2 linked regions of the Cricetulus griseus genome follow. The protein of the gene in region 2 interacts with the protein of the main gene of each other region in a pairwise test. Links are inferred from orthologs where the notes say so. Each region holds a gene or a part of one and is shown on either strand. Other genes may lie near its edges. The genes, in order: Rabggtb and Wdr4.

Region 1 (14,802 bases), about 250 Mb from region 2:
GTAAACCACCTCCACTGCCATGCACTCAGTTCCCGCCCCCACCCCGCCATCCACAGGCGCCTATGCAGGTTTTACTGCTCCAGGCAGCAATATTGCTCCGCTAGCCACGTGAATGTGCCTGAGGCCCTGAGCTGTGACCAACACAGGCTTGCATTTCTGTAAGCTCCAGCCTTTATGTTACATGTTTACAAAAGCTCTCAAAGCAACCTTTGAACTATTACATATGAAGTACTATTTCACAGGCCCAGAACCATAGAAATCAGCCAACAATGAAAAACTGCAAAAATGGTACTACTCACCATATCTCCTGGTCTGTCTGCAAAGCCTCCAGTCTCTTCATCTTGGCACGCTAAAATGAAGCTGCGCAGTTTTTCTCTGTCAATCCAGTGAAGCCTCCCAATTATCTTCAGTGAGGCCAAAACCCACCAGGAATAGCACACATCCGGTAACTACAAGGGGGAGAAACCAGTTAGACTGCCGGCACTATTACCGCTCCATTTCTGTAGATTTGATAGAATTTTATGTCTAATCCCATGCTCCAACACTGGGGAAGTGAGCAAGGGGGTGTCGGGTAATGGTGGACACAAGCCAGAATTAAAGAGCCTGAGGCAGGCCGGGCATTGGTGGCACACGCCTTTAATCCCAGCACTCGGAGAGTTCGCGGTCTCCAGAGCAAGTGCCAGGATAGGCTCCAAAGCTACAGAGAAACCCTGTCTCGAAAAACCAAAAACAAAAAGGGAGCCTGAGGCAGCACAAGTGCTACAGTTCAGGCCACTTAGGCTATGCACAAGAACTGCAACCAAAACCCAGGAACAAACACTGGGTGAGGTGAGAGAAACCACTCCCCACACACTGGTGCTCACACCAACTCAGTACTAGGTGGCAAGTATACATTAACTTAAATCTTAGTCTAGTTTTCAGCTGAGGATATCAGTGTAGACTCATGAAAGCTGAGACAGGGTTTTCTAGGCAAACTGTTTTCCACTAGTCTGTCCAGGTGGACACACCTGAGAATTCAGCCTGCAGATCCTTCAGCTCGAACAATCTGCATCTTACTGAGCTCCGTGACTAATAAGCACATTAAGATATCCTAGTTTGTTTGAGCCAAAGTTCAAACACTAACCCTGCTCAGAGACTACCCGTGGGCACACCTCTCCACCCACCACATGAGATAGCAGATTATCTGTCTCTCACACACAGCAAGCCCCACACAGAACTAACTACAGATGAAATTCTGTTAGTTATACTTCTGTGCCAGCATTTCCCACAGCAAACATACTACATGGCTACAGATCAAATGCTCTGCAAAAATAAGTATCCTCTTGGTGTCGGGGGCAGCTTTGGGATGGGATGGCATGTCTAACATACTTCATTTCATTCAAGTTAAATTTTTTTGCTGTGCCTGTGTTACGGCACAGCCTATTCTGTGTCTACTATGCATGTTACCTGATGAGCCTGGGTTAAGATCCCTGGCTATCCTGGGGCTCCCCAAACAGACCAGACTGGCTTCAAATCCAAAGATCTCATGCCTGTGCCTCCCAGGTGGTGTGTTTCAATTAAACGCTGAGCCCACCCAGGATCTTTTTTGAGCACACCATGGTAGAAAATGCACTAAGTTAGTCAGATAGTACCTGCACACCAAGTTCTACTTTTACTATGACCAGTCACTCTGAAATTAAGCCAACTCTTAAGCACAGAGCACCACCCAGTCAGGTTGTAACAGAGAGTCATTACAATACCTTCTCTGGTCTTCCATTGAGCCCGCCTGAGGGCAACTGGCGTTCACAAAGCCACCAACCAAGCAAGTCAGAGTTCACTTGATGCAACTGACTGGTTATGGCCAGGAATCCTGTGCAACAATAGATCTAAAATTACAGACATAAAGTACACAGGTATAATTTAATAGTGAGTGACAAGCACTACCAAAACTATTAAGACTCCATCTTGTATCAGGGTGTATTATTTTTTTAAAGATTTTATTTATTATGCATACAGTCTTGTGCCCGCATGCCAGCAGAGAGCACCAGATCTCATTCAAGGCGGTTGCGAGCCACCATGTGGTTGCTGGAAATTTAACTCAGGACCTCTGGAAAAACAGCCAGTGTTCTTAACTGCTGAGCCATCTTTCCAGCCCCAAGGTGTATTATTAGGGTCAATGTCTCAGTGAAATGCCACACTTGGAATACAATTTAGAAAATGCTCTGTAGAGAAGCAAATGGCATGCTGACCTGGACACAGTGGATTAGGTTAGAAGGCTTTCATTGTTTAATTAAAGTTAAAGTCACACATGGAGGCTCATGCCTGCAATCCCAGGTAGGGATTCATTAGAGAACTAAAGCTGTGTATACACCACATACCCCAAACTTTACCTCACAAGGTGTGGCTATTTACAACACAAACTTATTTTAAAAAATTGCTCATCTTTTCTTTTTTGGTTTTTTGAGACTGGGTTTCTCTGTGGCTTTGGAGGCTGTACTGGAACTAGCTCTTGTAGACCAGGCTGGTCTCGAACTCAGAGATCCACCTGCCTCTGCCTCCCTTAATCCTCTGCTGGGATTAAGGATTAAAGGAATGGGCCACCAATGCCAGGCTTGTTCATCTTTCAATATAGGTTCTTGTAGGGAGACACTGTAGCCCCGCCTCCTAGGAGCTAGCTACTGGTGTGCTTGACTCCGCCTGTCAGGGCGTGGTCAGGGGAGGTTCAGGATGACGCCAGGGTGAATTCTTAAGGGGGTCTCTTCTGGGAGGCCTTCTCTCTGGCTTTTGCTTGGCCCGTATAATTTGAATACAGATATCATAACCAGTAACTTCTCGTTATAGGTTCTCTCCTAAATCTTAATAGCAAAATTACCTGGCCGGCGTGAGATTCGGAGCCCGGTCTGCACCCAAATCCACCATCAAAGTTCATACAGGACAAAACAAATTCAATTGCCTTTTCCACATTAATAGCATCAAGCTTGCCCTACAAAAAGAAATAAAATATATTACAACTACCCAGAGCACTCACCAATGCTTAATTAGGTCCCTCAACAAATTCAAAGCTTACCAAGAGAGCCAAAGTTGCCACAGCACAAAATGAGAACCTGGTATCAATTTCTCCTGAAAGATAAAAAACAGCCAAGGCAGTCATATAGATGCTACAAGTTTTCCACTAACAATTTCATTCAATTTCCCAAAGCAGGTTAACTTATATTTATTTAAAAATGGAGGCAATCCCCCAAAACATAAGGAAACCAGCTAGAATAGAAACTAACAGCCTTTCTAAGTAGCTCAGAGGACCCCAAAAGGGAAGAAACCTACAAAATGCAAGGACTATTATGCCAGTAAATTCAAGTTAATAATGTTAACACCCTATCTTACAAGAGGTTCATATCCCACAAAGCAGCTGGTCTCAGGCCTGCATTTTGTTCCACCCCAAACAAATTATCTACATTACTCAAATAATTTTTCTATGTCCCAACTCAGGTACTTAGAGTTTTGATAAACCTTTAAAGACTTCCTCTTTTCAGGGAGTTTAGCTACCGAATATTGGGGATAAAACTTGAACCTACCTTATCTTTTTAGAGTGTGGTGTGCTGACAAACCAGCACGGGGCATGCTGGGACTTCCAGCAGGCCATTTATTCCAGTTAGACCAACTGCTTAGTGGGACCTGAAAAGATGGAACAACTTGAAATCTTATGATTACTACCAAGATAAAGATGTTCTGCGTATGGAATAGCGGACTGAAACAAATCTTACCCCAAATGTCTCCAGCAAAGGAACCATCTTCTTTCTGTAGACTCTGGACATAGGCCACAACTTTATCTACATCGATGGCATGAACACTGTCATACAGAGTCAGAATCTGAAAAGGCAAGTATCCAAGAGTAGTTGTCACCAACTGAAGAAGGCCTTCCATGCTGTACTACCAGTTTCCCAAACACACAAGCATGTATCCTCAAGTTAACGCTAGTTATTCCCCCTAGTCACAGTTTTGCTACACAAACCATTGATAATCTCAAACTCAAACCACCCTCTGCTCTTTTCTAAAACCAATGTTCACCGTAGCCAGAGTCAGCCACAGGGGAAATTAGCCTCCAAGGTCTCAGCATCACTTGAGAATTTGCATCAAGTTAGCATTCAGCTAATACATGCCAGGACATCACCGACCTTGCAGGAAGGACTTCCCTCAAACGGACTGTAGTATTGACTTCTGACATAAGATACAGATTTCACTGTCCTCCCCCAAACCAGATCCAGTCACCTACCTGGACAGCACTGAGAGTGTAGAGCAGATGCGGGTCGTGTCCAATGCTAGCGCTGATTCCTCCACACTCGTGCTGGCACGACTTGATGAACACCAGTATCTCTTCTCTGTTCATTCGATCAAGTTGCCCCATGAGATCCATCACCGTCAAGCCCCAATAGATGCCGCTCATTCTCAAGTATTCAGACATACAGTATTCCTAGGGGAAGTTTCTCAAGCTCATCAATCCGTCCCACATACGACACACCTCATTTTTAAGACAGTCAGGACCAACTTTAAATGAGGCTTTAGAGTCTCCCAAGTGCCAACTACAGGCAGATAGAGCAAAAGCAAGCAATATCTCACTGTTTACCAGACACCAACCTACAAATGAAGTCCATGAATATGGAAATATAAACACTGTTAAAGATGGAACCCACGTGGGTTTCAGAACCTTGTTGCAGCTAATAAAGCATTATTTTATAAGCATTCATTCAAGTGAGAGCCTCAAGGAGGTCCACAGGACATTTAGGCCTATAACCCCCCCCCAAAATGAGGGCCTAAGTTATGGAAACAGCCAAGTTAGTAAACGAGTGTTTACTAACAACACGTGTTTGCTAAGACTCAGGCAAACAGCTGCTGTATGGAAAATATTTTATGTAAGTGATTCCCCTTTGGAGAGGTCTCTGAATTTCCCATGGGCTTCCCCCCCCCCCAACTCAGCCCCTTGGAGCTGACATCACAGGGGTGTGGAAATGTCCCCAACCTCCCGTCAGCGTTTCTCCAGATATGCTACCACTATTATGTTCAGGCAAACCTTTCCAAGGTCTCAGCGTAATTCTAGAGCTAAAGTGTGATTACACATCAGCAGAATTCAGATAATACATGCCAACACATCATCGACCTTAAAGGTTGTACCCCAGCCAGAAAGGAGCAGACCCCTCCTGCCTGCAAACCCTAACCTACTTCAGAAACGCCTCTTGCACAGCTGTCATGCTCGACAGAGCTAGTGCTCACCACCACTTACAGACTTGCCAACCCAAGGCCATACGCACATAGTCATCCTTCTTGGAGCCGTACGAGGCGATGTAATCCGCGTGCTTCTCCAGCAACAGGGTGTCGGGTGCATCGGACTTGATAGTGACATCCTTCTGCGGTGTGCCCTTGCGGAAAAAAGGCAGACATTTCATCGTTATTTACATCTTCTGCCCGTGACGTCCCAGACCCGAACACGTAACCGGCACCTTTCAGGTCTCAGAGTAATTCTAGAGCTAAAGTGGTTGATAATCAGCTTCAGATTCAGAATACATGCCAGCTCATCACTGACCTGAAATGACCGGTTTTGCGCTCGCCCTGGAATGGCGCCTACCAAAGCAGGCACGTTCCTGGCTAACGAGCCTGACGCTTCCGACAGAGCCCCTGCGACAGTGCTCCCGTGTTGCTCCCGCTTCCTCCCTCCGTGTCAGGCACAAGTCGGCCAGGCCCATCACCCACGCTGAGAGTCGGCTCTCGGTCTCTGCCAGGAAGCCCGGCCTGGCCTGAGCTCCCCGTGCGGACCCGGCTGGTTTGGAAACCAGGCGATCCCGCCTGTCCCTGCCTCTGCCTCTGCCTCTGCCGTGACGGGGCTGAGGTGTGGGCCCGGCCGGCTCCCGTCCACCCCAGTTAAAAGCGCAGCTCTGAATCAGAGTCTTAACGATTTCCTGGCATCTGTATGTTCCAAGTCATTCCCAATGAAAGAAAAAACCTCAAAATCAGCTTCACCGGGGGTGGAAACCCAGCCGCGGCGGGGGTGGAGAACGCAGTCAGGCCGCCCAAGCGGCAGAGGCTCGCCCGGAGGGAGGGAGGGAGGGAGAGCGGGCGGACAAAACCAGGAGCCTCGAGAACTGCGGAGAACGCCGGGCAATCGCTCCAGGGACCCTCCCAGGGCGGCCTCCCGAGTCCGAGGCAGGAGCATGGCTGGGAGCTCCAGGCCACGGGGCCCAGGAAGAGTGCGAGCCTTGCAGGCCCGCTCGCCCGCCCGCCGCCCGCCCCAGCCCGCGCACCGCCGCCACCCCGCTCTCACCATGTCCGCTCGCCAAAAGACAGAGGCTCGCCGGAGCACGGGGAGTCAGGGCCCGCGCGCCTGCGCACACGCGCCCGCCGGCCCGCCCGCTCGCCCACGCCCTGCCCAGACGGTGACGCTCGGCCCGAAGGACCCCGCCGCCCGCAGGATTTAGCCGGTCGCTCTCCTGCCTGAAGGACTCTGCGGTCACGATGTAGCCGGCCACGCTGCTGCCTGAAGGACCCCGCGGCTGGAAGTGTGGCCTTGCTGGCCTTGTGCGAGCCCCGCTCCGGGGCAGCGGAGGCAGGAGCGTCTGCAGTGCAAATCCCTGGGGGCCATCCCGGGCTACAGTCCCTGACGAAAAGATAAATACATCCGTTACCCAGTTAACAAAATTGGGCTCCTGGCTGTGGGTTTGATGCCTGAAACCACAAACATAAGGCTTAGTTTTCCCTCCGTACGGGTCAGGTAGTACGGTCCAGCCTCTTCATCTTACCCTTTCCTTCTTTTTCTGAGGTCCTGGGGGCTGGACTTGCGTGTGATCTGCCACCGAGCCATCTCCCCAGCCCTGTTTGCCCCTGCCAAGAATAGGATGTGCCCCACCCACCCCCAACCGTAGCTGCCACAGGTCCTCTACCCCCAATGCGGAAATGTCAGGCCTACCTGGAAAATGCTGTAACTGGTTATTTGGTTTGTTCTTTTTTGGTTTGTTTTGGTTTTGCTTTTTGTTTTTCGAGACAGGGTTTCTCTGTGTAGTTTTGGAGCCTGTCCTGGCACTCGCTCTGGAGACCAGGCTGGCCTCGAACTCACAGAGATCCGCCTGCCTCTGCCTCCCTAGTGCTGGGATTAAAGGCATGTGCCACCAACGCCCAGCCTAAAATGCCGTAAAACACGAAACTGTGACACGCTGCTCGTTTTAAAGTTTGTCTGTTGACCGCCTTCTACATATCTATGTGATACCCATATGCAAAAGCTAATCCCAGAATTCATTAGATAAGCCTCCCTGTGCAGTGAACAATGGTGAATGCAGGCTCTTGGCCCCCTCTACAGCTTAGTGAACACCACAGAAGAGGACACAAGATAGAAGGCTGAGAGACCATCTTCTGACCTGACAGCCTCTGCGATCCTCACCTCAACAGAGCAGCTGCGCTTGTCTGCACCGGCTTGCACACATCTGGCCCTGTCAACCATCAGTCATAGATGGGAAGGGACTTGGTGCTCTGCCCCTCCCTGCTGGGCACTTTCCCACGACACCTAAAGTCATCAGTTGTGTGTCCAAGGGTAAGCCCACCAGGCATCATTGGATTGCTCCAAAGCCACGGTCACATGACTCAGTGGCCATATACATGTATGAAATGGCGAAAGAACAAAATAAAGAAGCCTTGCTGGCTGAGGTGATATTTTGGTATACTGAGTTAAAATATATTTCAATATATTAAAATATATTTCTATTTTCACTTTTTAAGATGTGACTTAGAAAATTTAAAACAATCTAGAATTCACATTATATTGTTATTGTTTAGTGGATGTCTGTCTAGTTAAGCACAGAAACACACCTGCCACTGTGTAAATGATAAAGGCGTCTCAAGCTTGACATGGTAGAAAAGGCCTATAGTCCCAACACCTGGAAAGCTGAGACAGGAGGGTCACAAATACTATGCCAGCCTGGGCTGCTTGGTCAGTTTGAGGCCAGCTTGAGTTATGTAGTGTGACCCCAAAAGGCAAAGGACAGAAATAGTCTTTGTTATTAACAATATTTTTAAAGAATTGTTTATTTTTATTTAGTATTGAGAGTTTGCCTGCCTGTATATGTACGCCTGGTGTCTGAAAAGGGCAGAAGATAATGTAGGGTCCCCAGGGTCTGGAATCACACACAGTTGTGAGCTGCTGTGTGGGTGCAGGGAACTGGACCCAGCTCCTCTGCGGGAACACGTAGCTGCCCTTAGCTACAGAACGCCCTCTCCAGCCCCCAGGAGTAACAGTTCATGTTGTGAACTGCTGGGACCATAAATTACTAGCATTTAGTATAAATACTGTCCCAAGTTGGCCTTAACATGCTGACTGTATCATTCCTATAGGGCAAGAATCCCTTATTCCATCCTTGATGCCATTGATTGCAAGACACAGTTGAATTGCAAAGATGAGAAACAAGAAGAGCAGCCAGCATCCATTGGGGCTGGGGCTGTAGATATCTCAGGAGAACACTTACTTGGTTAGTGTGAGACCCTGGGTACAATCCCCAGCACTTAAAGAAAAAAAGGCACTGGCTAAATATTTCACTATTTTTAATTTCTTTACCCCATCATTTTTTATTCATGTTAAATGGAGGGAAATGTTGAAGGCTAATCTTGTTTGTTTGTTTGTTCGAGACAGGGTTTCTCTGTATTGCTTTGGAGCCTATCCTAGAACCCGCTGCATAGACCAGGCTGGCCTTGAACTCACAGAGATCTGCCTGCCTCTGCCCCCAAGTGCTGGGATCAAAGGTGTGTGCTAACAGTGCCTGGCTTGAAGGCTTTTACTGGATCAGAAGTCAACTATGAGATAGCCCTGAGAGAGGTCGCTCCTGGGAGAGGTTTTCTTACTTGTGGGGCATGGGAAGTTGTGAGGCCCACACTATGTGTGGGAGGTACCTTACACGGGTGACCCAGATAAAAGGGAACTACAGAGAGAGCTTCACTTTTGCCTTATTGCCTTTTCGTCTTACTGTTGAATTTATGTTGCAGCCACTGCCGCCGCCGCCGCCACACTCCTTCACTGACACCAGAACGCAGCTTCTTCAAGCCTCTAACACAGAGCGAAGGACTTCAGCACCAGGTGGTGATGGCCGAGACGCCCAGCTTTGCTGAAGGAGCAGGTACTGGGTGGCGAAGGCAGTGTTGGACGACCCAGACCACATCATGTAAGCCCGTCTAATAAAAGCTTTGAGTATGTATCCACTCTGCATGTTCAGTTCCTCCAGAGAACCCTGATGACTATCAAACCCTTTTGTGTATGCATGTATGTGTATACATGTGCACATTTTATGGGGTGTGCATACATATGTGTATGCATGCGTGAAGGCCAAGGTTCAATGGTGGGCGTCTCAATCTCTCCACGTTGTTTTGCAACAGAGTTTCTTCTCACTAAACCTAGACCTCAGGGATTTGGCTAGACTGGCTGTGGTGTCAACACAACCTTGCTCTCCCTCCTTCACTCTGGGATTACAGGCACACCCAGCCAAACCTTACCTCCCGTGGGCTCCACTGAGGTCATCAAGGTATGCAGCAAGTCCCTTGTAAACAGAGCTATCTCCCCAACCGTGAGATCTTCTCCTTCCACATTTATTGTGTGGGTGTGTGTGCACACAGGTGCATGCCACTGTGCAAAGCACACACACTACCACAACTTATACCCTTCTCGTAGTAATTCAAATCATTTACTGGGGTTTAAGATTTATTTTTATTTTATGTGCATGTATGTATGTATATAACTGTACATATTCCTGGTGCTCAGAGACCAGCAGAGAGCATTGGATCTTCTGAAGCAGGAGTGATAGGCAGTTGTGAGCCACAGTGCGTCCTCTTAAGAAAAGCGAGTGCTCTTACGAGTTTTCTTTCCCCCAGTTTTCTCTTTTTCTTTTTTCTTCAAGAGGAGGCCTTGCTGTGTCACCAAGTTTGCCTCAGATTCACAATCCTCCTGCCTCAGCAATGTTGGGATTCTAGGTGTGTGCCATGGTGTTCAGCCCCTTTTCTGTTTAACCAAGTTTATGTTCCTAAGTTGTCTTCTTTATGGAGGTACATGGACACATATAAGGTGTTTTCCAGAGCTCTGAACCCTTTCAGCTGGTTATCAACGCTGGGGTCATGGCCACACCTGAATTGGTAGCTTTGTTGCATCGAGTATAGGTAGCCTAAAGACCCAGAATGTGTCAAATAGTATAGTTTTGTCCTAGTCTTTTCTCTTTGCTGTGATAAAATACTTTGACAAAAGCAACATAAGGAAGTGTTTATTTTCACCCAAGGTTCAGGACCCTAGTCTGTCAGAACATCAGGAGATATCGTAGAAAAGGAGAATCAGAAAACATTCCCCACTTTGATAAATTTATTTTGTAGTACTTAATACCAAATTCACAAATTGTGGCTGTCATTTCATTGTGTTTTTTGTTTGTTTGTTTGGTTTTTTGAGACAGGGTTTCTCTGTGTAGCTTTGGAGGCTATCCTGGCACTCGCTCTGGAGAACAGACTGGCCTCAAACTCACAGAGATCCGCCTGCCTCCGCCTCCCAAGTGCTGGGATTAAAGGCGTGCGCCGCCAACGCCTGGCGTGGCTGGCATTTCATGTTTATATCTTCTGTGGTCTTTAACAGTAACAAAACTGCACACAGGCATGGGACACTGTGGAATAGTATGGAGCTTGCTCTATTTCAGTTCCTTTTTAAAGTCATGTGTGTGAAACACAACTATGTACAGCAGCCCAAAGGGTTTATACATTCCTTAAGAGTCACAGAAAAAAAATAGCTTAAGGTTAGCTTTATTGAATTATTTTAAATGAGACAAATGAAATGTTGGTTCATTATTAAGATTTTCCAGAAACTTCTTACATTTTTTTTTGGGGGGGGGGTTTCGAGACAGGGCTTCTCTGTGGCTTTGGAGGCTGTCCTGGAACTGGCTCTTGTAGACCAGGCTGGTCTCAAACTCACAGAGAGCTACCTGTCTCTGCCTCCCAAGTGCCAGGATCAAAGGTGTGCACCACCAACGCCCGGCACTTCTTACAGTTTTATAATGGAAAAAGTGAATTTTTTTGTATTTTTTTACTTTTTGGTGTAAAACAAAGTAAATATGTTCAGAATTATAAATCAGCTGTGGTAACTTAAGTTATCACAGAGCAAATATCATCCAGGAGCAGGAGTATTAAGAACAACTCATTGTTCCAATAAACCAAATTTATCCTGAAACCATGGAGTTCAACAGAGGTGCATTCCACCATTGTAATAAACTGCACAGATCTGTGTTATTCATCTTTGACTTCATTTCTTAGAAAGATGATAGACAAAGCCCTTCTTTTTCTCTTAAGCATAAACAATGCCTTGAGGTTTAGTTGCACGAGTATGAAGCATCTCTTCAAAAGCAATTTCCTTTAATTTTTAAACTTTCCAATGTGCTCACGGGCTATGATCAGCCTCTGAATTTGTGCAGTACCTTCATAAATCTGAAAGGAAAACATGGCTTGGTTTTAAGTCATGAAAATTTATTTTACAAAATTGGGAGGAAGGCTTAAAACATCAAAGGAAATGATATTTTACATTTCAAAATGTTTGGGAAATCTAAGGTTTGGTGTTAGAGCATTTATTATCCAGCTTTTCTGAGCTGTTTTTAGTTATGTCCTTTATTCTCTGTTCTTACTATTAAACATGATTTTTTCCCCCCACTGCTGCCTATTAAAGAAGGAACTATTAAAGAAGTCAAAATATTGGAGGCTTTGGGCTTTAATCCCTGGTAATCCTTCCCATTCTCAATCTGAGTTTCCAATCTCAGCCACTTGTTAATTCATTCTTGGGGGCTAGAGGGATTTATGATCATTACAGGCTCTTGGACGGGTGAACTAGTAACTCCACAAAGACGGTGACTTCCGGTGTTCATGTCTCCTATGTCTAAATAAAAAGACTGGCCTAGGCAGACCACCGTGAAGACAAAATCCTGAGGAGTTATTTTATTTTATGTATGTGAACACTTCGCCTACATGTATGGATATGCACCACATGCTTGCCTGGTGCGTGCCGAGGCCAGAAGGCGGCCTGGGAGCCCCTGACACTGTTGTTACAGATGGTTTATGAGCCAACATGTGGGTGTTGGGAATCAAACCCCAGGTCCCCTTGGAGAGCTGCGAGTGTTCTTCACTGCTAAGCTGCCTCTCCAGCTCCATCATTCTCAGTGTTGATATTGTTACAATTCTTAGCCTTTCCTTTTCTAGGGCTAATGACACAAGACTTTTCTGTTGTATGAAAATTAGGTGATGAACATCAGAAAAGGCAGACAGACATGGAAAGAGAATGAAAAATATTGGATAGTCCCAATTAAAAACAAAACAAACAAAAAACTGATTTCAAACAACAACAACAACAACAAAAACTTAACCAGTTGTCCGTGTCTCACTCAAGCAGTCTGCCTCTGCCTTGCCAAGACATCTGCTTGGGGTGTGCAGAACGAGGCAGGGGTATGAAGAGCCATGGGCTATAACTCACCCACAATGGAGAACATGTAAGTTTCTATCTTTTTTATGAAGTCACTCTAACTTTCTAATTGCAAACTTAATTTCAGAGTCAATTATCACTTCTAAAGGACACATGGCTTTTGACTGTAAGTACAGTTTCAATTAGTTAAAAAAAAGTGTCAGACAACAATCAAGACAAGACAATTGTAAAAGGCAAAAAATGCAGATTGTAATTTGAAGACTCAAAAATGGCAGAGTTAGGCAGGTGATATATGCCTTTGCTATTTACTTGGCTAGACCCTTCCCTCTTAGCAGCTACACTTAATAAAAAACAACATTCTTTCTTACCATGTGGATTCTAGGAATACAATTCAGGTTGTCAAGCTCAGTGGCAAGTGAGCCACCATTCACCCTCTGAGCCATTTTCCTGGTCCAACTGTCACTATTACCAGTGCCTTGAATCTACTATTGTCACTTATGATATTTTATCCCCCCAGGAACAAGACTAGAGAGCCTACCTGATAGATCTTGGCATCCCTCATCAGTTTTTCCACAGGGTATTCTGTATTGAATCCATAGCCTCCAAAAATCTGCACGGCATCAGTAGCTAACTGATTGGCAATATCTCCAGCAAAGGCCTTTGCAATGGAGGCATAGTATGTATTCCGGCGGCCAGCGTCAACTTCCCAAGCAGCTCTCTGGTAACTGAGTCTAGCGAGTTCAACTTTCATCGCCATTTCTGCGAGCAGAAATGAAACTGCTTGGTGCTAGATTTAAGGGGAGAAAACAGTTGGAGGGTATCTATTGGCAGTATTTGTAATATTTTTTCTTAAAACGTCTTTTTTTGCTCTTTATTTTGCACTAATTTTGGACTTGCAGAAAAGTTATAGCTAGATTTCACTACGTGAGCACCATGCAATGATTGAGGCAATGGGCATGAACCTGTAGAATTACATAGACCGTAGACAGATTATGTTCTTAACCTCTGAGCCATCTCTCTAGCCCCCTCTTTTCTATTTTTAAGACAGTCTTGCTATAAAGTGGTTATTGATCTTGAAGTCACTTAAGACCCACCCTGCTGCCGGGCATTGGTGACGCACGCCTTTAATCCCAGCACTCAAGAGGCAGAGGCAGGCGGATCTCTGTGAGTTCGAGGCCAGCCTGGTCTACAAAGCGAGTGCCAGGATAGCCTCCAAAGCTACACAGAGAAACCCTATCTCGGGGGAAAAAAAAAACCCACCCTGCTGTAGTTACTACCTCAGAGAACCTTCTAGACTATATAGTTCCCATCTTCTGACTTCTGTCCTTTTGAAGAATATTGTTTTGAAATTTTCTCCTTGGTTTATCTAATATTTTCTCATTATGAGAACACAGTGAATGTGCACAGGTGGTGCTCTTAGTGGCTGCAGCTGAGGGTGTGTCCTGTCAGAACTCCCGAGGACAGGCCAGTAGAGACACCTGAATACTAACATCCACCATGTCTAAATCTCTGCAGAGACTCCAAACACAAGTGTGTGTTCTATTTTCCTAGAGGTGGTTTACACAAACAGATACAATGTCTCCCATGTTTTTACACAAATGCTGGCCTACGAGGTTGATGGTTTTTCATCTTGCTTTCCTTGTCAGTAAATTGTGCAGAGCTGTATCGGTGCGTAAAGAATTGTCCTAGTGTTTTAGCTGCACAGGCACCATCCCTCTCCCAAGAATGATCAGGGTTTTGGTTATTTCTGCACAATGCTGAGATATGGAGTAAGTATGATGATTCAGATCATAGCTTAGGTTTATCTTTTGTGTGTGTGTGTGGTCCACAGTAGGTGTTTTTATTGATTGCTGAGAAAAATGTACTCTTAAAAAGCGATTGTGATGAAACCATAGAATCTTCTTCCCCACAAAACAGATTATTTTCTTCCTTAAAAGTAATCTCTTAATATTTAGATAAAATGAGTGTATTTAAATTTCACCAAAGCAAACACAGTACTAAGATGGCATCCTCAAGAGCTGGGTAGATGGCTGTCAGTAAAGTGCTTGCCACACAAGCATGAGACCTGAGTTCAGATCCCCAGAGCCCGTGTGAAAAAGCTATATACAGAGGTGCATGCCAGGAGTGCTAGCACCAGAGAGGAAGAGGCAGGTAGGTAGATCCCTTGAGTTCACTTAACATAACTGGGGCGCTCCCGGCCAGTGAGAGACGTTGTCTCAACAAAACAACCAAAAAGCTAACCACAGGACACCCGAGGTTGTCCTTCCATCTCCATATAAATGTGCAAATATGTGCATTTACTCATGAAGAACACACGCTTGCACACACACACACACAACACTCACACCACACACACACACACACAC
Region 2 (14,702 bases):
GTGGTCACCTGCAAGCTCCACACCAACCAGGACACAGGGCCCCAAGTCCTCACTTGCTTCTCACTGCACTTGCAGCAGCAACACACGCTGGTGGCCTGTAGACACACCTTCCTGCACCTGCACATTCTGCTATGTCGTCTCTGTACCACAGACTAACAGTTCTCACCTTCTAGCATGGCCCAGCTCTCACGAAGATGGCTGCAGAGTCTCCTGGACACAGCACCTTCAGGAACAGCCTGCAAGTGACAAGTAAGCAGGGTCAGGACCAAACCAGAGCCCAGAGATGGCAGGCAGAGACCTAGCAGGGCCCATCCTAAGGCACAGGCTCACTATCTCTTAAGGCTAGTCAGATAAAAGCCTTCAGCCCCAGCAGCTCAGCACAGGAAGCCGAAGCTGACTAGGAGCTCCTGGTGCTGTCCCCTCTCACCCACAGCCTCATGCGATTGGCAAGGATGTCCCCACACTGCGCCATCGCATCAGTACTCAGCAAAGTCCCTGCACAACAGAAGAGCAGCCCTCATCAGGCCTAGTGCTGGCTTCACCAGTATGGGATGGGGTGTCAGGCAAATGAACACCCCTGCACACAGGAAAAACTGCCCAAACCAGGGCCCGGACATGCTGACGAGCACCCAGGTCACTTCCCTACATGAGGCCTCCAGTCCCAGCTGCCTCAGGACCTAGATGTGATCAATCTGAGGTTCAGGATTGTAAGGGAACCACAGCTATCCACCTGCCAAACCCTGCCACACCTCCACCTCCACCCCACCCCATCAGAACAACAGGCTCGGTACACGGCGATGCTGCACATACTCACCTGCCACTGACCACCCACAGGCCTCCAGAGCACTAGGGGAGCGTCACGACAGTCCTGCAGAACCCACAGCCCCTGCGAATCCTCAAAGACGATATCCCACACTCGATGAGGGAAAGTCAGCTGCTGTCTGAACACCAGCTGCTGTTTGCTGGCATCAAGCTGGAAGATGAAGACCACAGGAACGCTTTGCAGGAGAGAGAGACTGGTCACCACTGCAACCGCAGGCCCATGGAGGCATTCCATACAACACAGCTTAGCACCAGGCCTGCTTCTACCACCCTGGACCCTGAGCCAGAAGCCAAATGAATCACCCAAACCCTGTGAGATGGTATTTGTTTGCTGTCTTGAATCCTACCCCAAGAACTAACCAATACAGGACAAAGTGAAACGGCCACCCCACCCTAAGTGTATAGACCAATGACCCCTTTGGGGTTCAAAGGACCCTTTCAAAACACATGTTTCTTTACATAATGATTTATAACAGTAACAAAACTGTAGTTATGAAGTAGCATTAGGAAGGTCGAGAACCACTGGTAAAGAGGTCAGCCTCTGAGGAGCTTCTCTCTCTTCTCCAAACCTATATTCTCATTCATAAGGAGAGCTAGGAGCTATCTTAGGAGAAAATGCAGAGCACCAGAGATCTACCCTGGTATTGAGAAAGGGCAGAAAGAACCCCTCAATTACACCTTGCCCCTCAATCTGCCAGATGGTGCTAACTCTTGGGCATATTCCAGCAAGATCAGTTCTGAGTGGAATTGGCCTATGGAATCTCCTGCAACTACACTTCAAAACCAATTAAGTAGAAGATGCCTCTACTTAATTAGAGGGCCCCAGCCCCCTCCCTGAAGAGTAATCAGCGGAGTTAACAGAAGACACAGCCACAGGCCGCTGCCAGTGAAGCCTGCTGTCTTACCACTCACACAGAAGCACTACGCAGCTCTCTTGTCCCCAGAATGCAATCCTGGATGCAGCCAACCCCTGCAAGAAAAAGCAGCTATTTAACCAGGCTCTGCTGGCTGGTCACCATAGGGGAAGAACACAGGCATCACAAATCCCTCATAATGCCAAAGCAGGGCACAGAGGACACAACAACATTCTGGAATCAGTAGGAGGAGGAGGATAGCAGCTAATGTCCCTGTCCTCACACGACAGAAGTGTGTGTGTGACCCACAGCCAAAGCAACAGAATAGTCAGGAAAGCAGGGACATGTGGCAAGAGGGACTGTAATCAGGTAACTGTCCTGTGGGCTTCCATGCTTCCCAGAAGCAGCTTCTGTAAGTCCCAAATTTCATGATGTGTGAAAACAACACCTGTTGCTCATTGTCCTGGCAGAGGGCAGACACCATGCCACCCAATTTTAAGACAGATAGCTGAGAAATCTGGGAACATCCCTGCTGCCAGAGGAAGCATGGGTACAGCAGGTGCCAAGAGAGGCACTCCACGAGCACAGAGAATGCTGGGGGGGGGGTCCTCCCCCGCTGTCCACACTGACAAAGCACAGGCAAGGCTCTCGGCCAACATCATTTTCTCATGCCCATGTGTGCCCGGAGGCCTCTCTGAGAGATGTGAATTATTTTCCAACAGGTGATCAGGCATCTTCAAAACTACAAATCCTGTGTGTTTCTCCCGCACAGGAAGAAATCAGACACTGACATGTTTCTGTGAGAAACTGAGAATGTTTCTCACAGATGACTTCCCCAGAGGCAAGCATGAAGTTACCTTGTGGTCTTGATGGTCTGCAGGCTCCCGAAGGCTAGCCAGGTCACAACACTGCAGCTGGCAGCCACTCCTGTACTCCCAAAGTCTCAAGGTACCATCCTGTGCACACACAGATGAGTTAGCATGTGGGCTCAAGAGGCCTGTCCCAGAAGCAAAAAAGGCTGTGGGAAGGGAGGGGAGTGGAAACACAGGGCATGGCTGGGTGTGGCCAGTGCCCCCACTGACATCTAGGGCTCCCTTATATCTGAGAGCTAACCAATTATGTCATGGAGCACCTAGAAAAGCCTCCGAGAAGACAGGCCAACCAAGACACACGGCCCATGGCACAGCGGACAAAGGCACCAAGATGGCCAGACTCCCCTGTTAATCCACTTACAATGCCTGCTGTGCCCGGACCAGGCAAGTGAACACCCATGCACACACAAACCATATACACAGCCATGAAGAAAGTGGCCACTCTCTAAGAGCCAGAAAGAAGCTCCCTCTAGCGGCCACCCACTGAAATACTTGGCACCCTCGCTGGGGACAAGAGGTGGTTACTGTCTTCTGCCCAGCAGTGACCACTCCAGCAAGCACAACACTTACCCCAGAGGAGGAAAGCAGCAGCTCAGGATGACTGGGCACAACCAAGATGCGGCTCACAAACCTGTGGGGAGTGGAGATAAGTCACCAGGAACACAGGAGGGAGTCCCTCACCCTGCTCAGAAAAGGAAAATCCTGCAGACCTGACCCATAGGTCTGAGAACACGGCTGGGCACTTTCGAGGCCCCAACATTACATCTGGACCAAGGGTGGCAGGGCCCAGTTCTGCTGGAGCACTGTAGGGACATGCAGCCCCACACACCTGCATCCACCCAAGATGCCTACACTCAAGGTCAGCACAGGGAGGAGGAAGAGCACACTTCAGTCAAAGCAGACCCTAAGGTCTGCTACACTCTATGTAGCCAGTCTAGTACTAGCGTCCCAAGGAACCCGCCTGAAGATCCAGCTATCTCAGCCTAGCTCCGTGGCCTCTAACTGTACAGTACAGCGACAACCACTCCGCCACCCCTACCAGAAGTGCACCTGAGCAAGCTGGCTCTCCAGGAATTTCCACACCTACCCTGCAGTCCTTCTGGCCATAAACATGTCTGGAGCACCTGCCAGGCAGCAAGACTGCTCTTGTACCAGCTCTTTATAGAGACCTCAAGGTATCATTCACAAGACCCAGGACTCGTACAATATGTTGGCCCGATGGCTCCCTTCATCCCCACCACCCTGACCCAGGCCTGTTCTGCAGCTGGTCTTTGACCAACAGTTGCCATCTCTTAGGGTGCTTAGTTCTAGTCTTAGGCCATCTAAGAGGAATAACCTGTGAGGACTCTACAGGCCCAAGTCACCCCAAGTTTTCAGCAGGTAAGTGGGAACTAGTCTCCATAAGCCTGAACAACCATCATAGAAAAGGCCACAGAAGGGTTCCTTCTTGCCAGGATAGGCTTCAAAGCTACACAGAGAAACCCTGTCTCGAAAAACCAAAAAAAAAAAAAAAAAAAAAAAAAAAAATTCCTTCCATCTCTGGCCCTGCAGAAACCCAAAAGGCTAATAGGACCAGTTCTTACTGAAGTCACAGTATTCAAGTGACAGATTCCTGCAGAGGGTGGAGGAGGAGCTTTCCCCCTCCCCCCAAGGAAGCAGGCAGCATCCAGAAGAAAGTAGGGAACAGGAGCAGAGGGCTGCCTCCCACACACCCTCCTGTCCCATGAATCAGCACGTGTCAAGATCCTGAGCCAGGAGTGTGTGCCAGCCGGGCCGAGGCTCAGAATTCATCGAGTGACCGAGACACAGTGATGAGGACATGACTGAGGGTAACAAACACTCAAGCCCTGGAGGATGGAAGCCAACTAAGCTATGGCAAGGTACAAGCTGAGTGACACCAGCCTTCTCTCCAAGGCGAACTTCTGCATCCCACTCAAGAAACCAGAGCCAGCTCAGAACTGAAGTCCTTCAGGTTCTCCACCATCTACAATAACGCCCTTTCCCTTCTGAACAGCACCCTATTCGTCAATGCCTCTCATCTAGAGCCACCTGCTAGCAGAGCTCAGGCGGAGACGAACCTGGGGACCCAGTCACTTAACTCCCAACAGCCCAAGTGGCTAAAGGACGCTCCTCAGTCTCCTGACTACTTTCAGCTGGGCTGAGGAGCAACAGCCCAGGAGGTAAGCTCAAAGCAACTGCTTCACATGGCCGACAGCCCTGCAGCTGTCACACCTGGGGGAACCACAGGCCTGGCAGGGCCTTCCGAGCCTAAGCAGCTCTTAGCTGTTGGTAGACTAGTAGGGGCTGCATGCTATCAGGGCCCTGACCCACCCTCATCCATTAGACTTCCCTGACTGAGGAGGAAACAGGATTGCACTTACTCTGTGTGTCCCAAGCAGAAAGCCTCGATGCTGTGCGGAGCAGCAGCCCAGCTGACCCGGATCTTCTCATCCCGGTCCGCAGTGAGCACAAACTGGTCATCAGGACTCACAGCCTACATCACCAGGGGTCAGTAGAAGGAGAGCCACTCACTGGATGGCCTTGCAAAGTACCACAAGAACGCTTGGATTTTGAAGGACTCTCTCGAGGAGCTGCAGTGCAGCTTGGAAGAGCAATGGGAGCTGGCAGGGGACGGAGGGAGTGTCCCCTACTGTGGAGGGTCTCCAGCTTCAATGAGAGCCAGAGCCACACTTCTATACACTGAGACCAAACTCCAATGCCACCCAGGCATACCTGCTGCACTCCCCCCATCCTCCACTGTACAGCGGCAGCCAAGCCAAGCTAGGCACTGCACCCAGCACACTGCACACAGCCCTTGATCTTACCCCACCTCAGTCTGTCCCATTCTACAGACTGGAAGCTAGGGCCCTGGCTGAATCCTAGGAAGGGAAAAGTGGACCCCACTTCACCTGCCAATGCTATTCTACAGTCTGCTGCTCTGGAAGAGCCCCGTGTTTCCTCTCTCTCTGTCCCTGCCCCCACTTTGCCCCCTCTTAAGCCCTGGCTGAGCAGACAGTGTTGTGTGTCCCCCACATACCACATCTAGCAGCATGGAGAGGTGCCCAAGTTCCAACTTGCCACATCCATCAGGCTCCAGCACCGAGAAGGAGTAGACATCTCCAGATTTGTCCGCCACCAAGACCTGATCTTCTGAGGCTGTGAAAACCAGGGCAGTGCACCTCCGCACCACAGTCCTGCAGAACCAGAGAGCTGAGCTGGTTAGTGTCCCAAGTCCACACAGGCCCTCCAGCCAGAGAGACAGTCCCCGACTTAAAATAGTTAGACGTAAAATACTCTGACTTTACCATAGCACAAAGGTGTATCCCTACACCCAGCTCTCACTTTTAGTAATCACCGACTCCAAGTAACCAACCAAACTGTGTAAGGCCTTCTCTTACATAGCTTTGCTCAGCTGTGATTCTGATCACATTTCAAAGATGAGGCTAGTCTCAGATGCTCCACTCTGGGGTGGTCAATGCATTTATCTAAGATTTCATTTTATTGGGGGAGGGAGGAAGAGGGAAAGGGATTGATATGTGAAATTATAATTTTTGTAAAAATTAAATAGATTTCATTTTATTATTATGTGTATGAATTTTTTTACTTGCATGTATGTCTGTGCACATACATTCGTGGTGCCTGCAAAGGCCAGAAGAGGGCGTCAGATCTCCTGTTACTAGAGTAACAGACTGTTGTGAGTCACCATGTGGGTTCTGAGAATCAAACCCAGGTCCTCTGGAACAGCAGCCAGTGCTCTTAACCCACCGAGCCATCACTCCAGATCCTAGTCAATGCATTTTTAACCTAAAAGTAACTCTAATTCAGGAAGAGCTGGCACAACCTGTTCCAGGTTGGAAGCACCTATTGTACGTGCAGAATCAGTATCTTGCACTGCAGAAGGTGGTGCCACAAACATAAAGCAGCACAAAGGAACCGAAAGAAAGCCAATGCTTTTAACCTATTAAACTATACTATAATCCTCCCTCAGGAAAAAAACATAAAAACAAAAAGACAGACACAGAGACATGGTGGAACACAACTTTTTTTTTGTTGGTTTTTTTGAGGCAGGGTTTCTCTGTGGCTTTAGAGGCTGTCCTGGAACTAGCTCTTGTAGACCAGGCTGGTCTCGAACTCACAGAGATCCACCTGAGTGGCGCACACCTTTAATCCTAGCACTCTGGAGGCAGAAGCAGGTAGATCTCTAAGTTTGAGGTTAGTGAGTTTCAGGACAGCCAGGGCTACACAGAAAAACTGTCTCAAAAACAAAACTAAACTGTAAAAGTAAAAAGACAGGCAGGCATGATGACACACATTGTAATCCCAGCACCCAGGAGGCTGAGGAAGGAGGACTGAAGTTCCAGGCCTGGTCTTGTGAGTACTTAATAGAAAACACCCCAGTTTTATTGTACATTTGAAAGGCCCATGATAAAATGCTGAGGAAATCGGCCCTTCCCCAGAACCTTTGTTGCTCAGATGAAGGAGACAAGGGCCAGCTATACTACAAAGCATATGCTCTCTAGAGTCCAGTCTTTGAGTCTTCCCAGCCAGCAGCACCATCTGGCTCTACCTGACCCATCCCACCACCTGTGACTCTGCTGCTAGGCCTGTGCCTAGAGGCAGGAAGCTCCCAAGTACCATCAGACTGTCGCTCCCCTCATACCCAGAAGAATGTGGGCCACAGGCAATACAGGGTAGCCATGGGCCAACCTGCATCCCAGGTAGAAGGTACAGGGACAGCATGGCAGACACCTAGACTACCGAAGTCTGTCAAATTCAACTGATTCACAGCAATCCTTGGCCCAGGTCCCACAGTAAATGCCATCTGTAAGCTGATTCAGTTAAGTGGCAGTGGTTAGTTTCCTCCTCTCCCATACCAGGAGAGGGCACCCAAACCCCCACCCCATAACTGTATACCATATCCTTCTGCACCCGCCACTTACTCTCTAGGACACACACCCTAACACTCTGCAGTGCCAGGACCCTCATCACAGCAGCCCTGCTCTCCCGAGCCACTGCTGGGGCAGAACAGCACCAACACACGCACAGCAGAAGGTTGGCCATATGTGGGTCTGAAACAGAACCTGAAACATGAGGGCAGTGCTCCACATAGACAAGAAGAAAGGGAAGATGTGGCTGCACCCTGCTCCTCCTCTCAGCAGTGCAGCTGCACAGTGGCTGCTCCAGAGGGGAGCAATGGAGAACAAGACAAAGGCAATTAGGCTCTGGGGCCAATGACTCAAAACAAATGGCCTGAGCCGCCTGGCAGCTGAGACTGTGCTAATGAACTCAATGAGCAACTGTGCCAAGCACAAGCTCTGCCCAGCGGTCAAGACAAACCACCAACAAACCACGAGGACTCCAGGATCCTAAAATCCCTGAACCAGATTCCTGTATGAGTCTTCCCATGCCCATGGCTGCTACTCAGCTCCAGGCAGGAATGTCCATGCTGTTAACACCAGCCTGGGACTGTACCATAGAGGCAGCTCTGGGAAGGTGTGAGATGTGGGTAGCAATTTTGGAATCAGGGCCCATGTCAGGTCACCAGACCGGACAGTGTGCAGGGCAGGTCACTCCAGGAACTGAGGCAGTAGCCCCACTGACCCCCACAGAACATGAGCACTCTCCTCTCTGGTGGGTTCCAGAGAAGGGGGAACAAGCTGGTCTCTGCCAAAGCATCTCACTGCTGAACCTGGAAGCTCCCATTTACATAGGTCACTGTCCCAAGCCAGCCTTCAGAGCCACACTGCTCAGGTCCTGCCAGGGATCAAGGGTCCCACAGCTGTCTGGCGGAAGCTCTACCAAATTCACATCCCTGGCAGGCAGCCTACAGCAGAGCAGACTCAGCCACTCTCTGTGAGCTGCTACTGCTTTCTGCAGAACACTTTCCGGAACAGTGCGACTTCACATTCAAGATTTCTCATTCATAACACCACACGTCAAAGCTAAAAGGTGCCATCTGTCCCTTCGCAGTTAGCTGGCAACCATGACCTCCAGCACAAAAGGCCAATAAGGACCCGGTAACCCACCCAAGTGGTGGTTTCTGTGGCCCTACTACTCTGAACTACATCTGAAAAGGATTCAGGGCCATCCACATTAATTCTTCCACATTAAGACTGGAGGCAGAGGCAGGCGATCTATGAGTTTGATGCCAGCCTCGTCTACAGATAAGTTCCAGGACAGCCAGAGCTACACAGAGAAACCCTGTCTCTAAAAAAAAAAAAAAAAAAAAAAAATGAAGGCAGCAGCTGGACAGTCTCCAAGCTGGTCTCAGCCAGGGAGTCCCAGAGAAGCCTGGGGTCCCAGTGGTATGTGATATACACAAAGTCCAATACAGGCAACTGCTGGAACCAGGTTGCATGTCACAGGTATAAAAGGTGGTGTTCCTCAAGGGAGCAGGTGCATCAGATCCCAAGATCTCTGTCCACAAAGTAAAAAAACCACCAGACCGTGGAGTGTGGCAGCCTCCAGTGTGAAGGGGAGTGAGCAACCCCCACTCCCACATACCTCCTGCCACCCTGGACATACCAACCTCCCCTACTCTCTTACCCCACAAACCCTGCTGTCAGACCTCCCACCAGACAGAAAAAGTAAGGACTTTACCTTGCCCCACTAACTGCATGAACTCAAATTCCAAAGGCAGTGTGCAGAATGGATAGAGATCTTTCTATCAGAATTAAAGATCTGAGAATACTGCATGAGAAAACACATGCAAACATGGAAAACAGTTCTGCTATTAGAGACACTGGCTGCTCATGCAAAGGACCTGGGTTCCCAGCATCCACATGGTAGCCCACAACCATTTCTAACTCCAGTTCCAATGGGTCTAACTTTCTCTTTTGGCCTCTTCAGGTACCACTCACATACTCATTGTTCAGACAGACAAGCAGACACACACACATACAGGTAAAAATAAAAACAGCATTTTCAAAAAGATTCTTACACAGGCTGGAGATGAGATCTAATGCCTTACACATGCCAGTGAGGCACACACTAGCCCTAAGAGACATTTTTAAAGCAGGATAACATTACTGTGAGCCCAACCAGTGGAGCTCTATACAGCACAGCAGCTCTCAGAACCTGCACTTCCAGATGCTACCTTCTAAGCCATAGATAGCATTCTTCCACACACCTTTATCCTTGAAGGCACCAGAGTCTCCTTGTCATGTCCCCTAGCTGTGCTGTTGGCCTGATGCAGGATCTAAAGGGAAGGTCAGAGAGCTCTCCAAGCTTACATCTCCTGCTCCACGTGCAGTCCACACAGCCCAGAAGCACTATAACCAAGTAAGCTTATCTGAATGGATCGCACACTGGGGGCCAGCAGTGGAACACATGCTGAGCACCAGGCTCTAGTCACAGCACCTAACAAACACATGGCAGACCATCCCAACCAAGGCTGGCACATTAGAACCTGTGCTGTCATGGTGATCAGGTGATTCTCATGCCTACATCTGTACAACCAGAGCCTTTACTCTACAGGAGAGTCACCATCACATTCTTTTAAAAATCTTATGTGCATATGTGTGGGTTCCTGTGTGTGAATATAAGCATGTGTGTGCCACAGCACACATGTGAAGGTCAGAGGACAAGCTCTGGTAGCACTCCTGGCCTTCTTCACTTTGTTTGAACAGGATCTCCTATTGTTTGCCACTGTGTATACCAGGTTGGCTTGCTGGAGGGCTGTGATTACAGATGCATGCCCTCTATGTCAGCCTTAAGTGGGTTCCAGGATAAAGACACTTGCTGCCAAGCCAGATGACCTGACTTCTAACCCAGGATCCCATGGTAGAAGGACAAACTACCCAAGTGTGTATATATGTGTGTGTGTGTACATCTGCCTACATACATACATACATACATACATACATACACATACATACATACATACATACATATATATATATGTACACACACAAATAAGTAAATTTTAAAAAAGACAGACAACTTCCTGCTGGTGAATCATCCCTCTGTGGGAGGGCCTGAGGAAGCCTGGTCCATGAGTGTCCTTTTGTTTAATTTGTTCTGCTCTGTTTCTAAACAGTGCACATCTATTATCCATCTGAGAAGCAAAAGCACACACACACTGCCATCCTAAGATAGGCAGTGATGTAGGCTTCTATTTTTAAGCCGATGGGAAAAGGGCAGAATGGGTGTTCTTGTTTTTTGCTTGGAGGGGGGGTATTTTGGGGGGTTGGTTGGTTGGTTTTTCAAGACAGTTTCTCTGTGTAGACCTGGCTGTCCTGAACTCACTCTGTAGACCAAGCTGGTCTTGAACTCAGAGATCCACCTGCCTCTGCCTCCCAAGTGCTGGAATTAAAGGTGTGCGCCGCCGCCGCCGCCACCACCACCACCGGAATGTTCTTGCTTTTGATGCCACCTAGAATGCTGGTTTTTTACTCACCTCTTAGAAAATAGGACGAACTAAAAATCTAAATGTTCAGCTGAAGTCCCTGAATACCAATAGTTCAATCAAACACTGCTACCGCAGTTTACCTGACGGGATGAACACACAGGTCCCCTCAGGCTCCTCTGCTTGAGCACTTTATCCATAGCAATGGTGTGGCTCTGGAAGCCATGGAACCTTTAAGAGAGGGCCTAGCTGGCAAACATAAGGCCCCAGGGCAGACCTCGAGAGACTATCCATCCCTGCTTTCCGAATCCTAACATACCAGCAGGTGAGTGAACAACACTATGAACTCTGCCCACATGCCTTCCCTGTCCCAATCAACACACCCCTGACATTACCAGCACCATGCCTGTCATGACGGCACATCCCCGAAAAGCCAGCCAGAATAAACCCTCCTTCCTTAAGTTGCTTCTGTTGGGGAATCTGAAACAGCAACTAGAAAACTGATGGATAAAATCAAGCACAGCTCCACTAGCAGCTGGGTCGAGGGGAGCGTGGGAGAGGGGTTTTGGGGGCCACAGGAAAAGTAAGGCCCGGCTGACTTCACTCCATGTGCTACTGCCGCAGAAGACTCGGGCTCAGGAACCCCAAAGCATCTGTATTACAAGGTTGTTCGAGCCAACAAAATGCAATCCTGTCCACAGTGACACCCACCTCCACTCTCGAGGACAAGGTGGCACTGAGAAAAACAGCATCTCCAGAAACACAGATTCACAGCCGCCTCCTCAACATCACCACCGTAACTTCCCCCATAACCACAGGCCCATTTCTCTCCCTGAACCTTGCCTTCAGAAATGACAGTTACAGTTTGAGAGGAAGAGTAAGTGATGCAGCGTATTTATGTACCTATTGGGAGAAATGACTAGAATACCCACCTGCAGTCCTGCCCAGTTGTCTCACCCTACACCTACCTCGTCTTTTATCTTCTCCTCAGACACAAAAGGATGTAGCCCACCACCTAGCTTACAAATGTGCAACAGCCACTGCCACTTATCCAAAGCCCTGGCATCTTGAGTGTGAGCTAACAGTCCTAATCCTGTCAGGTATATGAGGCCACAGCAACGGGGAATGCAGGAAGACATATGGCATACAGGGTACTGACACTGCAGCCAGAGGAGCAGCTACACAGCCTGGCTCTGCCTTTCCCAGCTCCATGTCCTGAAACGGCTACTTAACCCTACGCCACCCCATGTGGAGGAGCAGGGCCAGGCCACCCTCCCGTGCTATTAGGATTCAGTCAGTTAGTGCATGTACAGCTCTGAAATCAGTGTCTCACACATAGCTGGCACTTCATGTTAGCTGCTATTACAATGGTCCCTGTCACCACTGCTGATGTATGACATGCAAGGACAAGGAGTGCATAGGACATCTTAATGACTCAATGTTAGCATTTCATACCTGACACTCAGACATTGCCATGGTTTTGTACGGAAAAGAATCAGACGCTTACTGTCATCAGTTAAAGCAAAATAGCTGCCAGACTTGGAGAAGGTGGACGCCAGAATCGTGTCACTCCCCTTGTCGATGGGCTGTCCGTCCTCCCTGAAGAAGGGCAGAGGAAGAAAGGAAAACAGTTAGGCCTCACCTGAGTTGCCAAGCTTGTCCATTCTAACACAGGGAAGGCAGAAGACGCTTGGTCAAGCAGGTCATGTAGCCAAAGCATAGTGACGAAACTTAAGGGGAAGTTCAGAGAACAGCTCTGATTTTACAAGCGTGAAACCTAAACCAACAGGAGCCCTCTGCAAACACACTAACATCCAGTGTGCGCTGGAAGCACTCTCAGCAATCACATGGCCTAACCCTCCTAGATATGGACTAATCCAAGGCTAGAAGCAGGGACCAATAATATCGCTAACAAACTGAGTCACAAGACCAAGCTACCACTCAAAACAATCACACACTGCTGTGTCCCTTTCAATTAGTTAATTCCCCACACCTGCTCTCAATGCATTTGATATGCTCCTTATTAATTTAAGGGACCAGTGACAAAAAATGGTTACTAAGGACACTAAAAGTATTTGGGAAGGCCCTTAAAATTATTTCCATGTTTCTTTCTGAGATGGAACTTAGCCTCGCCCCACAACTAGAAATTCCTGCCTCGGCTTACTGGTCTCACCATTCAAACCACAAGTGAGCACGATTCCCCACCATCTCACCCTTTATCTCCTGGCACTGACTTTTTCTCCGCAGCACTGCAGTCGTATGTGAAGACGCAGTCATCGTCACTATAGGGAAGAAACCAGAATGAGAGCTTATCAACACACAGAACTGCTTCTTGTCACTCTAGGACATTTCATCATCATTGAATTGGGGCCTTCTCCAGGACAGAAGAGCCAAGAATTGTCATCTGCTTAACCCCCTAATAGGCTGTATCATGAACAGCCAGCATGTTTCTGTTCTAAATCAGTTCCACCTGGCACAGTGGGGCACACCTGGAATCAGTGGACTCTTCCAGGCACCAAACTGTTGATTCTAAGAGATTATATTCTGATGTTATTTTTTTTAAGATTTATTTATTATGTACACAACAATCTGCCCCCATATATGCCTGCACATCAGAAGAGGGCACCAGATCTCATTATAGATGGCTGTGAGCCACCTTGTGGTTGCTGGGAATTGAACTCGGGACCTCTGGAAGAGTAATCAGTGCTCTTAACCACTGAGGCATCTCTCCAGCCCATGTTCTGATGTTATTTTCAACTGAGCTCTGCTCGCAAATTTAAAACAGTCGAGGCTGTCCTTACATGGTTCAGAAGCATGTCTCACCTGCTGGGGAGAAAGCCCCCACAAGCCTCAGGCACCTACTCATATAGGAATCGCCCACTCTCCCTATTAGAACCTAAGCTCCCTTGGGTGCTCTGGCCCGGTTTAAAGCACCTTGTACTATTGACAGCCGCACCAAAGACTTTTCCAATTAAACACTGAGCTGCAGAAAGAAAAGTCATTTTCCAAGTCTGAAACCTTGCTGGCCAATAGCAGTCCCTCGACGACACAAACTGAGGAACATTCCTAATCTTCAAATGTCAGAGTACGGAAACTAAATGGGAAAAGGAAAAGAAGCCAAAACGGACTGCCACTAAGTCCTTCGGTTCCTGGGTCACTACTTGCTCCACCATTCACTTGAGTCAAGCATCCCTTGACCCACCACTACGGGAATAACGTAAAGCAAAACCACTATTGGGAAGGACTAAGAGGGAGATGCCCGCTTCAGGCTCTGCGTGCATCCTGGGACTGGGAGGTGTCGGGGTATAAACCTAAAAACCCCGCACAGCAGCTAGAGCCGGGTTGCTGGACACAGACAAGGGGCGGGAAGCACGCCTGTGCTCGGTGAGAGCCAGCAGAGTTCGCAATACACCAGGCTCACCAGTGAGGTTCCGGGCAGGTCAGTCTGGAGCACCCAGACCCCAAGTCTGGCCTCCGCGACACGCACGTGACTCGGCCCTCCCCACGACGCGCAGGCGCCGCAAAGTCCGGAAGTGCCCGGACTCCACCCCAACGGAGCGTGCGCCCCAGACCCGCCGTGCAGGTCGTGGGGACTCCGAGGTCGGGGAACAGGGAGGAGGAGGAGGAGGCCTCATTCGGGACAGCGGCGGTGAGGCCCCGCGGTGAGGCCCCGCCACCGGCCCGGGCCTCTTACCTGCTTGTAGTGGAGATGGCCAGGAACCTGCTGCCGCCCCGCACCACGAGCGTTTGGCCGCACAGCGCCAGCCCCGCGGAGCTCGCCATGGGCCCGCCCGCGGCCTCCGCACA

What was found.
Region 1: the proteins of Wdr4 (region 2) and Rabggtb interact in binary tests that used the Homo sapiens proteins (3 or more experiments, as listed by UniProt). The two-hybrid records come from large-scale screens. The link is inferred for Cricetulus griseus from reciprocal best matches to the Homo sapiens genes WDR4 and RABGGTB.

The regions. Positions count from the first base shown.
Region 1 is NW_023276806.1:5,466,631-5,481,432, reverse strand, and holds the start of Rabggtb (geranylgeranyl transferase type-2 subunit beta), read right to left. Parts: upstream 6,418-14,802; 5' UTR 6,293-6,417; coding exon 6,290-6,292; intron 5,556-6,289; exon of another isoform or gene 5,476-5,555; intron 5,391-5,475; coding exon 5,283-5,390; intron 5,133-5,282; exon of another isoform or gene 5,051-5,132; intron 4,448-5,050; coding exon 4,250-4,447; intron 4,153-4,249; exon of another isoform or gene 4,081-4,152; intron 3,847-4,080; coding exon 3,741-3,846; intron 3,100-3,740; coding exon 3,047-3,099; intron 2,963-3,046; coding exon 2,852-2,962; intron 1,866-2,851; coding exon 1,740-1,865; intron 450-1,739; coding exon 300-449; intron 1-299. Other genes in the region: Acadm (medium-chain specific acyl-CoA dehydrogenase, mitochondrial), read right to left, coding at 11,383-11,454, 12,975-13,223. UniProt on the Homo sapiens protein: Catalyzes the transfer of a geranylgeranyl moiety from geranylgeranyl diphosphate to both cysteines of Rab proteins with the C-terminal sequence -XXCC, -XCXC and -CCXX, such as RAB1A, RAB3A, RAB5A and RAB7A.
Region 2 is NW_023276806.1:259,831,635-259,846,336, forward strand, and holds part of Wdr4 (tRNA (guanine-N(7)-)-methyltransferase non-catalytic subunit WDR4), read right to left. Parts: 5' UTR 14,679-14,702; coding exon 14,590-14,678; intron 14,429-14,589; exon of another isoform or gene 14,317-14,428; intron 14,089-14,316; exon of another isoform or gene 13,898-14,088; coding exon of another isoform or gene 13,830-13,897; intron 13,178-13,829; coding exon 13,109-13,177; intron 12,495-13,108; coding exon 12,351-12,494; intron 5,759-12,350; coding exon of another isoform or gene 5,743-5,758; coding exon 5,586-5,742; intron 5,043-5,585; coding exon 4,930-5,042; intron 3,180-4,929; coding exon 3,119-3,179; intron 2,633-3,118; coding exon 2,534-2,632; intron 1,793-2,533; coding exon 1,728-1,792; intron 999-1,727; coding exon 815-998; intron 237-814; coding exon 167-236; intron 1-166. UniProt on the Homo sapiens protein: Non-catalytic component of the METTL1-WDR4 methyltransferase complex required for the formation of N(7)-methylguanine in a subset of RNA species, such as tRNAs, mRNAs and microRNAs (miRNAs).